Lytechinus pictus: one gene and its partner. The protein of the gene in region 2 purifies or fractionates together with the protein of the main gene of each other region. This does not show direct contact. Links are inferred from orthologs where the notes say so. Each region holds a gene or a part of one and is shown on either strand. Other genes may lie near its edges.

What was found.
Region 1: the proteins of dual specificity mitogen-activated protein kinase kinase 5-like (region 2) and hsp90 co-chaperone Cdc37-like purify together in Homo sapiens (affinity purification with mass spectrometry; 3 studies listed by BioGRID and IntAct, with this or other methods). This does not show direct contact. The link is inferred for Lytechinus pictus from reciprocal best matches to the Homo sapiens genes MAP2K5 and CDC37.

The regions. Positions count from the first base shown.
Region 1 is NC_087263.1:6,061,513-6,069,560, reverse strand, and holds the start of hsp90 co-chaperone Cdc37-like, read right to left. Parts: upstream 3,110-8,048; 5' UTR 3,042-3,109; coding exon 3,009-3,041; intron 1-3,008. UniProt on the Homo sapiens protein: Co-chaperone that binds to numerous kinases and promotes their interaction with the Hsp90 complex, resulting in stabilization and promotion of their activity. Inhibits HSP90AA1 ATPase activity.
Region 2 is NC_087249.1:19,536,360-19,544,708, reverse strand, and holds the start of dual specificity mitogen-activated protein kinase kinase 5-like, read right to left. Parts: upstream 3,168-8,349; 5' UTR 2,976-3,167; coding exon 2,877-2,975; intron 1-2,876. Other genes in the region: short transient receptor potential channel 5-like, read left to right, coding at 6,041-6,212. UniProt on the Homo sapiens protein: Acts as a scaffold for the formation of a ternary MAP3K2/MAP3K3-MAP3K5-MAPK7 signaling complex.

The DNA of each region.
Region 1 (8,048 bases), on a different chromosome or scaffold from region 2:
TCCCTCACCCAAACATCATGACCTTATCGAACTAGATCAAGTGTGATACTTGACATAAATTTATATAACAAATTTGATCTAATTGCTGAAAATAATATGAAAAATGACTAAAAACTCACCGATTTTTCCACCTCCGGTGACCGTCACTACTCTTGGTTCGTTCAATGGTGTTTGATCGTGACAAATCGAAAAAGAAAAAAATATCACGAAGCCATAGAGGTTCATCCACCCCGATGGATGAAACACTACTCGTGATGCATTCTGGTAAACATGTCTCGATAGCCTCGACAGATTGGCAATTTTGTTTCGTCTAGATAAACATGTTTAAAGAATAAAAAAGTCCAAAAACTCCAAATGGCTATTTTGGGGGGCTTATCTATAATATTTCTAGTACTGTATCCAGAGCATCATTTGTCTGTTTTCCTCTTCCCTTACCCTTTCTTTCTTTTTTCTTTTGAGCGTAAATTAATTCTTTTGATTTTTTATTTCTTACTTTTTTTTCAGTCTTTGTTCTTTGGTTTTTTTTCTTCTTTATTTCTATTAAGGGGAACTCTCCCCTCCTCCTGAAATTTAAGGGGTATTGAATGTGTACCCCCCCCCTCCGCCGCCTGTGACAACAATAATTCTTGTGTAAAAAAAAAATAGTGAACAAAATATTGAGTGTCAGGCAGTGGCGTACCCAGGATTTTCCAAAGGGGGGGCAAATTCGTCCGCCAAAAAATTTGAAAAAAAAAAAAAAAAAAAAAAGGTCTTCAAGTTCAAAAGAGGGGGCCACTTGTGGCTCGTCACAGGGATCAGTTGTGACTCGTCAGGGGGGCAGGGGTACGTCCCTTGCATGAGTTGTGACTCGTCAGGGGGTGCAGTCTGCCCTCCCTGCCCCTTAGGTACGTTAGTGGTGTCTGGTGAGAAAAAGACTACAGTCCCCGGATCACGGAGCTTCCTATTATTATGCTTCACCGGAAACAGGTAGGAGCTTATTGTAACCAGCTCTGTGGTCGCCACTGTTCAGTGGCTAGCTTTCTTTTATTCAGCACAAGAGGGCGTGCTGAAATACTTACGTAGGAGACTATGGACCAGACGAGAATAAGGAAAAATTTCCTTATGATTTTACCCGATTTAGAAAGAAATCTTCAATTGAAGGACGATATTTGACTCATTGGGCATTGGAATCCTGTTTAAGTAGAACCAAAATCTGCATTTGGGTCAACACAAGAATTGGTAAGTCAGACTCTTTTACTTCGCGCGTTCCTACATTAGAAATGACAGTGTTAGCGGCACTGGTCTCAGATCAGTCCCACCCCGTACATTTTTCTGTATGGCGAATGGTCGGGGTGAACCAGTGAGCACATGCACCATTTCATTTTAGTTTTACAAAGTACCGTAAGTAACGGTGTATTAACCGCACCTTTTTCTCGGCGGGACAGAATCAAAAGTCGGGGGTGCGGTTTATACACGGTGACAGGTCTGAGCCAAGCCAATCTCAGCCCGATACCACTACCATTTTTCAACTCGCGTCGGGTGGCCGAGCGTAGCCGCTTGGGGCAATCCCGTTTAGAGGGGTATGAGCCGCGGGTATAAAAGGGAAGCAACTATGACTACCGGTATCTGCCGTAAATGTCCCTCAAAGTTATATCACGGTAACAAACGCACCTACCTTCATGAAACTGACTTATTTTAATGGTGTGACTCTGTCTTTGTTGTCATTTTTTAGTCATCGCGGCAAAGTTCAGACGCCAATCGATCGCACAGCGCGGTGCAGCTAGCCGAATAAGACATGCATGTGTAATGTTTATCGCAACGTCAACGTAAGCTGGCGCTTTACCTTTCTGTGGAAGTTATTTTGTTTGACAAATTATTGGTATTATTTGACAATTAATTTCTTTCATTTGCCTTTCCTTCATTTCTCTCTATCATCCATCATCTCAAAATCAATCTTCAATCCCCATCTTCACTCCTCCCGACTTTTTATTTTTAATTATTATTCACTTTATTCCCGCCCAGAGCTCCCATTGAAAATACGGTATACCGGTACTAGCATTTTTTTTCCTATTTTGCTGTCTGTAAGATACTGCCACACACGTACTGAGAACTACCGGTAGTGGTTCAAAGCAGACAAGAAAAACACCTGAACAAAATCGCAAATTTCTCGTATCTTGAACCTTCCCGTATTCCCTTGTCTAAAATTCATGTCAAGACATTGAATGCTAGACAGAATTCTGAAAGCAAAAGTGGGGCTGTGATGCAGGAAATATGATATGAACGATCTTCTCGTATGGGTGAGCCCCCATGTTGATGCTGGTATCGGTACTTGCAATGAACACCGGTACCATATGTGTGTGTGTGAGGTGACTCGGAGTGTGGAAGTGGCCAATAATATCGGCAACTTGCAGATAAGTGACGAAGCGCTGATTTCCCATCATTTTTTACCAGTAATTCTTCGAAAGTTCGATATTTTTTGGCTCTTGACTCTTTCTTAAATACGCATATTAGAGATAGAAAGTAAGTTTGATTAAATTTTTTTTTATGATTTTTTTTTTTTTTTTTTCCATCCGAAAATGGGGGGTGCGGTTAATACACGGGTGCGGTTAATACACCGTTACTTACGGTAATACAATACCGGTACTGAACTTCTGAAGCACAGGCTTTACTCAGTGAGTCAGTCACTGTGTCTTTTTTCCAATTTAAATTGCCAGTGCAGTGCCAAATTTAAATAAACTCACATATGAGAGGAAAAAATCCTGTCGAACCTGATGAAAAATGAAGTCCGCTCGTTTGCAACACTCCCCCCACACAACTTTGGCACAAGCTAAACTCAGTCAGACTCAGAGTCAGAGTCACAAAAATCACTTTACATCAGTCCCATAAACTGAAATTGGTGGGGTTCAACAAATTGCAATAAAGAAAATGAAGACTGGCTTTGAAATTGTTTGCAAATGATTTTAATCATCACAAAAAAATACATTATGTAAAGTCACGAATGATAAACCTAAAACGGAACATAATATTACCTCAATATGATCCCACTTGCTGTAATCAACCATTTTGTCAGAGCTTCAATACTTCTGATTCAGCTTCGATCAGATATGGACGGACGAATGTTCGGGAAATCGGCTGTATATCATCAACAGCTGGCGCTAGACCGCTTGCTCTCTCTGGCTTGCTTCAGACAGTGGTTTGTCTCCCGAGCTAGCCATATATCAAAGGTGAGTCCCGGGGATGAGTCATCGGAACTGGAGCCCCCCTCCCCCCTTCCCACACACACACCCACACACACATACTTTTTTTCAGTTTCCATGTACAAAATGTCAATATTACCATCGAATAGTGATTTTATCATTAATGTTATATATAAAGAAATCTTTAAAAAATCAATTTGATAGTTTCGGACAGCGATAGAAAGAGGGGCGCACAATCTACATGATAAAGTGGAAGGTATATGGTACACAGGTTATGAAGTTAAAATTCATAACACAAAACTCCCAACTCCTTGGTAACATTGCACATTTTAGCTCATACAATATAGCGAATGAAGTGCACTGGGTTTTTCTGAAGTTAGGTAATTTTTCACCCCCCCCCCCCTAAATTTGTTTAAGGACGTTCCACAGTTATGTTTGTGTGCATTATGATCTGCGCATATTTTACACTCCGCGCGCTGACGTCACAATGAATGAACAGGTGATTAATTAGCTGTGGGTATGAACTGAATTTTCTCATCATCTGCACTCTAACTGCAGATCCGATGCGTTAGTTTATGAAGCTAAAAAACCTTAATTATTCCATGGACCATTTAAAAAAAACATCTTTACAATTTTAAAATACTTTACTCTGCAGTGCTGCCAAAAATCACAAATATGACCCCGAGTTTAAATAAATGGTAGAGTGGTTTTGATTTTTTCTTCTCATAGATACAAAGCATTTGGCGCATTTTGGTGTTTTAAAAAGCACATTTGCTCTAATGAAAATGCTGATAGTTTGAAAACAAGCACATGAAGCCCTATTTTTTAATGTTTGCACCTCTTGGGTATACCTTCCTCTACAACTTTGCAAATTTTGGTGAAAATGACATGGATTTTGAATAAAGTGCAGCATTTATTGTACTTTTGTAGTTTGTTATTGAAATTTCACATTTTTAAGATTGGGTTTTTGTTATGTTTTACGCCATTTTTAAGAACTCACAGTGCTGTTAGACTTAAAATTGCAAACAAATAGCACTATAAATAGATTATCCATTCTAACGATACACTTATAAACTCTCTTGCGAAATTTGATGACTTTTTCATGTATTTTGACTGAGTAATAGAGGTTTAAACTCATTGTAGTGATCTTGCGAGGTCTAAAAATGCCAAATTCTTTTGAATGCGCAATCCGTAAGAACATTCATTCGGGTGAACTTTGAAGCTCCATAGCAAAAAATCAAGCACATGGACCTATGTTAATTTTTGCATATTTCGAATATTCAGGTTCTAAAGTATCTATGTGCAAAGTTTGGTGAAAATGACATGGATTTCATTTTAACTGTGGAACGTCCTTAAAGGGGAAGATCTATAACCTCTCGTCACATATACTTGAGCGTCAATCCATTGCACATCACTTATAAAGAGTGTGAACATGTTCCTTAGTTAGATACGCTTCATGTTTATGATAAAAAGACAACTTAGAATATTCCGTATTAATGTCTTAATATTAAAAAACATTCACACTCGCATTGAAAGGGGCGCGATTTTAGCGCTTGCCCCGGGCGCCGTTTGTCCAAGATACGCCACTGCAATGCTCACCTTCATGCAAGTATAGCTGCTTTTATGATTTACAAAAAAAAAATGGTTATATTTGACATCATATCACTTACGTATCACTTGAGGGGGGGGGGATCATTTGCTTTTGCTTGTCCCACTTTGTGGAATAGCCTTCCTGAAGACATAAAAAACGTACGTCTGTCGAGACTTTAAAAATCTTCTAAAAACTTTTTTTTAAACTCTTTGCTCTTTATGCGCCTTGAGCAATCTACAGAGTGGATTTGGCGCTTATTGTTATCATTATTATTATTATTAACATTATTATTATTATCATTACTATTATTATTATTATCATTATTATTATTATTATTACGTACAGATGGAGGCCTGGCTTGAGGGCCATAACCCCTCCCCAAAAACAATAAATAAATAATAATAATGATGATAAATTATAATCAATTGATGGAATAGAATTTATTTTTAAATGTAATTTGAAAATTTGTGGAATATGAATAAATGAATAAATAAATAAATAAATAAATAAATAAACAAACAAATAATCAAATTAATATTAATGAATAAATAAAATAAATAAAACAAAATAAGAGTTTGAAAAATATCACGACCAAGATAAAAGGGGGGAATAAAGCAAATGTAAGGGGAAATGATTAATAGATATATAGACCGAATCTTATATGTCATCAGTCTTCTCTCATTTGCATACCGACCAGGATGTGAATATAACTATTTTTTGAAATTTAACAAAGCTTTAAAATGTCATAACTTTCTTATTTTACATCCAATTTTGTTTGATTTTTCTCTTTTTATTCAAACCAACTTTGAACTTTGTGTGAAATTTTCCTTTTCCAATATTAAGCAATTAGGAAGAAATAAAAGGGTTGAAATTTTAATTAAATTAATCAAAATCATACTATTTACTCACCTGATTTTGCAGTTGTTTATCATGAAAATTGTCGATCACAAGCAAATTCAATAATTAAATTGGTGTATATTTTGCAGTTTTTGTATAAAAAAGGTCTAGCAATAACAAATTATGTGGGAATCCAATAAATGATTGATAAAAAAAAATCGTTTTGAGGTATCAAGTTCATGCAGCCACCACCCCCATCAGTTCAAATTCAAAAGCAGGAATTACAAATGGGGGGAACCGATTCAGCCGGATAAGACACAACACCATTTTAGAGGCCATATTGTTTATTTTTGCATAATAGTCGGCCTCTCAAAATCTAATCAGGATATATCTGCACCTGGGTAGGGGGGTCCCATGGGCACTCACGTACGGCAGTATAGGTTACTTATGTGCAGCCCTTAAGCCACCCCCCCCCCCTTCACGCCTGTTATATCAGTTCCCAATTATAATCCACTGTAACCTATTATACCCGCTCTCTCCCGTCCCCAAGCCCCTATAATTTCAGGGAAGCGTTTCATCAAGATTTTCATCCGACGAGTTGTCAGATCTGACATCTTTCTCTGATGTTGATTGGCTTATTTTTTTTATTTTTTTATTTTTTATTTATTTATTTATTTATTTATTTATTTATTTTTTTTTTTTTTTTTTTTTTACAAGTACGATAATACACCAACCCGGGGAGTGTTTCATCAACATTTTCATCCGACAAGTTGTCAGATCTGACATCTTTCTCTGATGTTGATTGGCTGAGAGGTACTGTTACTATGGTAACTGTCGGATAAAATGGGACTTGTCGGATAAAACGTCCGACAAGTCCTTTCATGAAACGCTCCCCTGGTGGACTGTACTTAAACGGATGATGATGATGATGATGAGGTACTGTTACTATGGTAACTGTCGGATAAAATGGGACTTGTCGGATAAAACGTCCGACAAGTCCTTTCATGAAACGCCCCCCTGAACTTGTCGGATAAAACGTCTGACAAGTTCTTTCATGAAACGGTCCCCATGCAGGCGTCAGTTTTCACAAATCAAGAGTATAAAGACCCTCATTTCATGTCAAATTCCAGATCCCATGGCCTTTGAACTTCGGTTGCCTTTTAAAAAAAAAGAAAAACCCTGTATAAATATTGTTTAATTCAAACAATAAAAAACAAAGGATCTAGTAAGTGAGGGACACCATCGAATCTCCCATTTGCACATCACTTAGTTGTTTTTCTATTCTCTGAAAAATACATATATGCGAAACTTAAAAATTTCATCCGATTTTGATGAAATTTTCAGCGTTGATATGCTTGTTTGATTTTCTCTATTCAAATCAACATTTTTTCTGGGGTGGATTTGACCTTTAAGGGCACTGTTTTGGATTTTGGGGCCGCAAACCTCCATCCTTTCCCATGCAGTCCAAGTGGCCCACTGGCATACAGATAGCTAGGGGTTTGGAGGCCATGCCCCACCGAAAAAAAAGTTTCACGACCAAGAAAAATAGAGGAAAAAGACAGAAAGGGAAAGGAAAAAGGGATGAATATAATAGCCTTTTTTAGACATTAGGCCTATGTCAAATCTATCACAAAATTGGATTTTTGTGTTGTACGTTTTGCTTACTCGCTTCACAAGCAGCTTTGGCGAAAGTTTGCCCCCATAAATACGTCATATCCCCCTCAAAATGGGCTACGCAATCCCCGGGTATGAGGGGGGGGGGGGCCACTTACATTGACGAGTGGATACCATGCGTGACCAAAAAACACGTAAAAAGGATGTCTTTATCACGATAGGGCACGTTACGTACGTAACGTGATAAGGGTGTCAAAAACACAAAAATATTGAAAAAATGGTATCTATTTCGCTAGGAAAATTACGTGTTTAGGGTCAAATTTGCGGGGTTGATAAAACAAAATTAAAATGTTTTATAAAGGATGTCCTTTTTGCCCCAACACTTCGTGTTTAGAGTCCGATTTGCGAGAGGTGTAGAAGCCGGTGGGGTCGTACCCCTACTAAACCAAATGAGGTAAAGCCGACGACCGAAGGACCCGTAACAATAAAACATTCCTGTACTTGTTTAGGGGCCCATTTCAGGGAATATTTGCCATGAGTATCGTTTTGTTTCTAATACTTGTTAAGGGTAGGGTTTCACACGCCAATACTTGTTAAGGGGTGCATTTTCAGAATATGGAAATTACGTGTTTAGGGTGCTTTTCAAGACCCCATGGTCGCGCATGGTATCCACTCGTCAATGGAAGTGGCCCCCCGGGGGGCTCATATCATGTCACTAATATTTGACGGCACAACTTTCTGTTCCAGGAGGTAAAATACTTTTTATGCAGGAGCAAACCCCACTTCTGGTACCCCTCGCTATAAATAAAAGGCTAGACTCGCTTTTCGTT
Region 2 (8,349 bases):
TTCTCGTTCCTTAGTCAAAGGCGCCTCATGTGGTTGGGGCATGTTCACCGCATCGCCAAGATAAGATGAGCTGTGTGCTTGTTCTCACCCCATTTGTAGATCACACCTTCGTCATAAAGACACCTGCAAACGTGACATAAAACTTGCCGGCATGTACACTAACACTTATGAAGATGTAGATGATAGTCGCCATTCTATGGAGAGCTAATAAGTACAGGGGTCAAGACGTGAGAAAATAATCAGAATGCTTTTGGCAGACCAAAGACCTAGGAGGAAGGCTAGGGCAGCATCTCTATCTATACCTGTCTCAGTGCCATCCTCCTTCACCTGTACAAATTTGCTCTAGAGACTGCCACTCTAGAGCTAAGTTCTACAGCCACTCTCGAAAATGTAAGACCCTATAGCGCTACACCATCGTCTTTTAAGACGAACTGATGCCTACCAATCATTGGACACATTGATATAGGGAAAACATGGAGAAAAGACTTTCAAATTCAAATAAGACACTAAAAGCCTATTCAGTACAAGAGTATGGATGGACATTAAAACAAATAAAAATACACACGAAATGGATCATAGCCAAAACCTTAAAAGGATTCATTCTAAGGTGAGCAGCTAATGTCGAAATCTGACATCTCAGATGTGACTTCACCTTGACCTAAAACTTGAGAATTAATAAAAGAAACGAGTGTTCTTACTGAAATCCCTTTATATTAGCCATTACACGTATAAGCCTCGGAAAGTAGTTTTTTTCAAGATGGCGTTTGGCGGCCATCTTGGATTTGATCTGAAGATTGTCCTTTATGCAAAATTACAACATAAAATGAATCAACAAACCAAATGACTCACGAATAGATTTAATATTCATGATTCTGGGGCAAAGGGTTCAAAAGTTAACATTTAAAAATATAAAAATGGCGTCATATGGCGGCCATCTTGGATTTGACCTGTAGATAACATTATATTGCAAAATAGATAGCAGAAATGGATTCTACACACCCCAAAACCCCTAAACAAAGTTGTTACTCATCATTCTGGGGAAAGGGGTTCAAATTTAATTTTTCAAGATGGCATCTGGCGGCCATCTTGGATTTGACCTGAAGATGACCTTATAATGTAAAAATGATAATAGAAATGGATTCTACCCTACCCTAAACCTCTAAAAGGAGTTATTCCTTATCCTTTTGGGGCAAGGGGTTCAAAATTTAGGTTTTTAAGATGGCATGTGGCGGCCATTTTGGATTTATGCAAATTAGCAAAATTGCCCAAAGTTGCCGTTTGGGCAACCAAGCTGAATTTGTTCTAGGACCCCATAGGAACATGAATCAAGAAAAAAACTTCATCGGAAAGACATTTCTAGGTTCGGAAAATGTCAAATCGACTACTTGCCACCAAGAATGATCTAGTCGACTGTGAAGTACAACTGAATTGTGACTGTGAGATCATCGCAACAAGGATCTAGATTTATGGCCAACAGCCACTCATTGTTGTGTCTTCCAACCGACCTCCTAAAAATGATGGTCTATGCTCAGTCTCTGTGCCAAGCAATCCAACAGATTACGATCAGTAATCCTTCTGCAGTAGTCTGGGTCAGCAGGGATTTCAATCTTCCCGACATTAATTGGAACACTGCATCCATCGACGGTCACCAATACACTGCTGCACTGAATGATTGAAGTCCACCTTCAATGATGTCGGACTGTCACAAATTGTCAACTTTCCAACTCGCACGGACAGAACACTTGATTTGTTCTTGACGAATACTCTCATGGATAAAGGACTTTCTTGAAGGGCGTACACAACAAGTTATACTTGACGGAAAGATGAGTAACAGCAATCCTGTCACACCGGGCATGCCCCAAGGTACAGTCCTCAGTCCGCTTCTGTTCACTGCAACCATCCTGCCTGTGGAGAATCTACAGGTAGGACTATGGTATGCCAATGCTGTATTGAGCACACACTTTAAAAAATCATTAAAATATCACTTTCGTGACCAAAATAACTAATTTCCATACAGTTGCAATTTATTTCCATTAGTAACTTGTAATTTTTGTATTCAACAGAGCGCTCAAAAACTTGAATTTTTGGCATATTTTTGTGAACACCCTCTATTGGTGGAAAGTAATATGGCAAGAAAATTTACATTTTTCAATCTCTATTTTTTATTCAGAAAAAATAATTTAAATAATCAAATTTACATAAGAGCCAAGTTATATGATGAACAGCTGTATTGGAAACTGACAGTGTAAGAAAATCAAGCATTTGTCCCATAAAAAAGAGAAAATAAGCCAAAATTGCCACCCTTATTTGCCACACATGGAGATGTAACTCACTAACTGAGAACAAGGTTATAACACATAACCTTGTTCATTGAATGAGTGGGCAGGCCCAGGGGCTGAGGGGCAGGGAAATGCTGAAAATTTACCCAATTTCATTCTTCTTTTTTGTAGCCAATAATTGGATTAAAAAAAAAATACATTTCTGTCATTCTGAAGGTTATTTCTCTTCAAATTCACAAAGAAAATGTGATATTTTCTTAAAATAAGATTTTTTTTTTTCCAGACACCCTATTTTTGTTTTCTTTACAATTGGAAATGTCATTGACATTAAATGTCATGATTTGGTACATAGAGACTGTGTGGAAAGTCTACTTTCACTGCTAATTGAGGGAAGTACCTATTTTTGCTTGTTTTAATATCCTATCTTTTGTGAATTTTGTAACATTTTAATACCGCCACTGGCTCACTCGTCAACATTATCAAAACCAATGTAAGGTACAAAACAAGACAATAAAATGAATATGTCGGACCAAGATGACCGAGTGAGAGCGAGTGAAAAGTTTAACCGATCAAAACACCCTTAGATCTAGGCCTTACCAAGACTTCATGAAATGACAATTGACCAAGCTGCACTGTCCAATCAACGTCCTCTCCATGTTGTGTTTTTATTCTTATGACGAGAGGTTGTGCTGCCATGTTTTATCCACTTATAGGTCTATTCGGCGAATAATACTACGAGTTCGGAAAATGTAAACCAACCAGAAATCCGGAAGCGAATACATAAAAAAAAATGAAGAAAGGGGACGAATTATTTTACTTATTATTTCAACTATGGTATCTTTGCAGCGCAGAGTTTGTAGGGGGCCGATCACTGATCTCTCCACTAGTGGAGAGATCAGTGGGGCAGATGGGTGTATGGGGGGGGGGGGGGGGTATTGGGGGTGAACATAAGAACATTCATTGATTATCTGACTCAGATCTCCCATTTTGGAGCGTCGTGGCCCAGTGAATTAGTCTCCGGACTTTGAAACAGAGGGTCGTGGGTTCAAATCCCAGCCATGGCGTAATTTTTTTCAGCAAGGAATTCATCCACAGTGTGCTGCACTCGACCAAGGTGAGGTAAATGGGTACTGGCAGGAAGTAATTCCTTAAAAAAGCTGTGTGCACCGAAAAGGTAGCCTAGCTTAGCCGGGTAATAATAGCAGGGCCCGCTGGGAGAACACTTTTCGGAACTGAAGTGGCTACCATGGGTAACTACCTTTATTATTATTATTATTATTATTATAATATACTCTGCTTTCTTCTTTCTTTCCTTTCCTCATTTAATGAAAAAGATAAGAGGATGAGAAAAGTTGAATAAAACAGGGATTGTAAAAATAAAGTTTCAGGTCAATATACTTTGCTCAAGACGATAACATGCATGGGGCTTGAAAATTTTCGTTTTCAAGTTTCCATTATTATTTTTTCAGCGAGATCGACACGCATCATGTTAAGAAAATGAGTGCTGAACAATATCACAAATTTCCAGTTCGTGCTTGCTTCGCACTCTTATTATTTGATTGACTGGCTAAATGTATAATCTTTATCAATTCCAAGAACAATATTGATCGTCCCCTTTTCCGGTAAGCAGACCTTGTATTTTAACTATTTTCCTCCTTTATTTGCATTCCATTAATTGTTTAGCAAGACACGCATCCTGTTCATGACTACAAAAAGATCATCAGAATGCCCAATTTAAGTAGGCCTGTATACCCCCCCCCCAAAAAAAAAAAAAAAAAAAAAAAAAAAAAATCAGCTCGCGCTTCACGCTCGCATCATTATAAAAAAAAATTAAACTTTCAGGTCTGAATACATGGAATATCCAACATTTTGAGCTCGCACTTTGCTCTTGCATTTTTTTTATTTAGGTTTTATTAGATATACTCTCTCTTGCTTGTAAGAATTAAGTTAAGATGTACTTAAAACATCGATCAGTCTTTGGTCCCTTTAATAGTTAATGTTACCTCCCCCCCTTAAAAACCAACAATCTTTACAGGCCGATCGGGGAAACTGTGGATGAAAATCTTTTCAGCCTGATTTGTACAGATTAGACAATAAGGAACGTTGCCCCCTGATCCAATGCATTCGTCATTTTAACTCATTTTTGTTTCATGTTCACTCCAAACAATCTATTCCAATTTGTAATAAAGATACATTTAGAGAATTTATATTAACAAGATCAGACGATTCTTTCTCAATATGAATAAATAAATGGATTCTATTCGTTCGAATAACAATTTGTGACAAGAGGCTTTTTAATAGATATTCTAACATTAAGCCATTATTATGTTATGTTTTTAATCTTTAGTAAACATTATACCACTTGGTACGTGAGAATGATAATGACACAAAGGTGTTTATATTTTAATAAATAAGGTTAACTATATGTGTGAACATCAGAGACAAAATTACCCAGCCATAAGTATGGGAGGGACAATTAAAATATATTATAAACACAGTAAATGAATTATTGTCAAAATTAAACAAAATTGATAATACATAGAATCTATTCAGTTCGTCAATATTCAAGAACACAGAATACATAAATTCGATCGGGTGCCGCCCTGGCATTATAGGCCTATACCTATTTCATTAAAATTTGAGTAGATTAATTTAGAGTTTCCCTAATTGTGCACTTTTGTTTGCATAATTTTGGATGACAGAAGGATATCAGGTACATGAGAAAATCCTATTGATTCACAATGATTTTCCCCATTTCTATTAAGATTTATTCTTGAGAATCTTCCCATAGTAGGCAGTGAACATACGATAATTAATTATTCACCGCATACAGAATATAATACTTAGGCAATATATACGATAATTATTAATATCAGCACACAATCATGACTAATACAATATTGAATAGCCAAGGCCCGAAGCTTTTCAGATCCAGCCATGCAATGAAGAACAAATAATTGCATTTTCTGCTTCCATTTCCCCATTTCAAATGATTTTTGTTGAACTCTTTTCTCGCTTTGTGCCGGCTGCTGGTACTTCCAGCGGCATGATTGATAAACATTGCTCGATTATGATTATTAGGCGGAGCTCGGTTTATACCTTTGTATCAGACCCATTTAATATAACGATCAGTTGTATAAAGCTTCGTGTGAAAAGCTTCACAGAATTTTGTCAGATTCGTGGATGATATAAAGAGATAATTCTTGTTATGGATACTAGTATACTGAGAAATGACATGACTACAATGTGGTTTGTGCGGCTGACGTGTTTAGATGTGTACGACTATAATGGATACCTGCAATATTAATGTTGGCGAAACGTTTTCTCCGAGGTAGAGATCAATTCGACGTTGGATCATGGGTCCATGATTGGATTAAAGGAACCCTCTTAAATCTTTGATCGACTGAGATATGTTGTTGTTCACTGGAGACAAGTGCAAATCTACATCGATGATAATGCAATGTCTATCAGTTCCAGTTATATGTGCCATTCTTCGCTCGTGAAGGGGTTTAATCATGGAATGTAAACAACAGAAAATATTGCACTGTTTTACGCCGCCTCAATTTGTCAAGTGAATGAATAGACCTCAAAGGGAGTTTAATACACATTATTAAAAGAACTGGAAACAATTATGAACTTGATCATCAATTGATTTGTAGAGGGCTGTCATATTTCTTCATTTTTCCTGAGGAAGAGGCCTCTAAATAAGTCTTTGGAGTAAAAAGCAGTATAAAGCAGGGAAAAGCAGACAACTGGCAAATATGACATTCAAGAAATTTTATCGGCAGAAGCTATTTGAGGCCGTCGAGTCGATGGATCTCTTGCTCGTAAAGACGTTCCTCTCTAGACCAGATGATTTGGGATTGGACTGGAACTACAGAGACAAGAACGGTCGGTCCGTCTATGCACACGCCATCAAGATTGGTATAACTCGTAAGTGCACACTTCTTTTAAAATAGAATTCATTACACAATATGAAATATGCTTTATCAGCAACCGAAAAGTTTTGGAATCATTTTGGTGAATTTTTGGAGGAAATTGGTGAAGGTAAAATAGAGAATATTTGAAATCCGAAAACGCCTATTATAGTCCCATATTAAAGATATTGTATCTGAAACGAGCTTGTGCTAAAGTAAACGTGATGAGGACATGGGGTGGGGGGGGGGGAGTAAGGCAAAGAAACGCTCCAATTTGTTTGGCAGTTTTTCAATGACTCAATGACAATAAATTCATACCTTCACAAAATGATAAAAACTAAAAATTATATATATGTAAATAAAGATCCGAAAAATGGAAATAAAATAAATCAATATATATATATATATATATATAATGATAAAAATATCATAAATAAATGAAGGAAGGACTGAATGAATGAATAAAATATATCACTTCTGAAAAGAGCAATATTTGAAATAAAATAACCTGACAAGCAAAAATAAAAAGAAATGAAGGAGATTGGAACTCTAATCCATACGAAGATTGTTTGCCTTGAAAGATCAAGGGGTTGAAAAAGAAGGCATATTGTTGTCTTGTTATCGATGATTTAACAGCACTCATGAGCCAAAATAAATCAAGAATGCCATGAGTGTTTACCAGTAATGGGGGGGGGGGGGCATGCTAAATACAGAAATCAAATGGAATCGATTCTTGCAATAAAATGTTAAAGGGTTCTGATCACTAGATGTATATAGTTTTAGACGCATATTACTATATTCGTTTGTGACATTCCATCCCCCGAACACAGAAAATCCATTTCGCATGTTATCTAGACCGATTGAAAGTTGGAAAATTACAAGTTATGCATTTGTATATACTTTCGGAAGTTTATGCCCCCTTTTACATCGTCTGTAAGAAGGTCTGTTTCTCTCCTTGATCCAGCTTGATTTTACTCACAATCTTCATGTCATTCTTGACACCCCCATCCAGTGGCGTACCGTGGGTCACGGCATTGGGGGGGGGGGGGGGGCACCAGCAAAAATATCTTAGGATATTTTAGGAATCCATTAAGTGCATACATATCTCAGCATAGTCATCTAGTACTAGTGCCATCCTTTGCTGATTTTGTTAGAATTACATCTAAACACATGAAGCACTTTTTGTTGTCATAGTCATACGTATCTCACTAATCAAATACTGCGAGCGCGAAGCTGAAAATTTAGGAAATTCAGACCTGAAAAAGGGGCATTCTACGGCTTGTTTGCAGGAATTCACTAAGACCGTACGTATTTCACTAACCAAATGATGCGAGCGCGAAGCGCGAGCTGAAAATTTTTGATATTGAGATCAGAAAAATTGACATTTTAAGGACTGATTTTAGGAATTCATGAAGAGCAGACGTCTCACCAATCAACTAATGCGAACATTAGCACGGACAGGAAATGTTTTATATTAATACCTTAAAATAGGGCAATCGCTTTAAGTATTCATGAAAAAGAAGCAAATGTCACTACATTAAACAATAATAACTCGAATTGCGAGGAAATATATTTGGTGTACAGTATATTGATTTGAAAACGGGAGGTTTTAGTACAACAGGATTATATATCTCGTTAAACAGTCTATGCGAGCACAAGGAACAATGAAGACATAGGCCCTGAGCAAATAATGTTTCATAAAGTGATGAAAAACTGCTTCTTATGTAATATAACATAATATAATATAATAAAACAATATAATGAACAATAATTTATTTTTTCCCCACTACGTTTCTCTTCCTTTCTCCCTCCTTTTCTCCTTTTCCTCGTTTTTTTGGGGGGCCAGCCGATTGGGGGGGGGGGGGGGGGCACGTGCCCCCCATGCCCCCCCCCCGTAGTTACGCCACTGCCCCCATCCCTCCCTGGAGTAGTAGATTTCGCCGGTGTGACCAAAGCAATTGAGCAAGTGTATTTTTGGTCATAGGATCAATTTGAATAAGTTTTGATATTTATCGAATTTTACACACCAAACACCATATTTTGACTTTTGTATGAAGGCATGGAACTTTGAAATATTTCCGTAATGCCAATTCCTTCTCTAATTTTGAAAGGAACTTTTGTGTATCTAGTGATTCAATAATCCGCTATTGTGA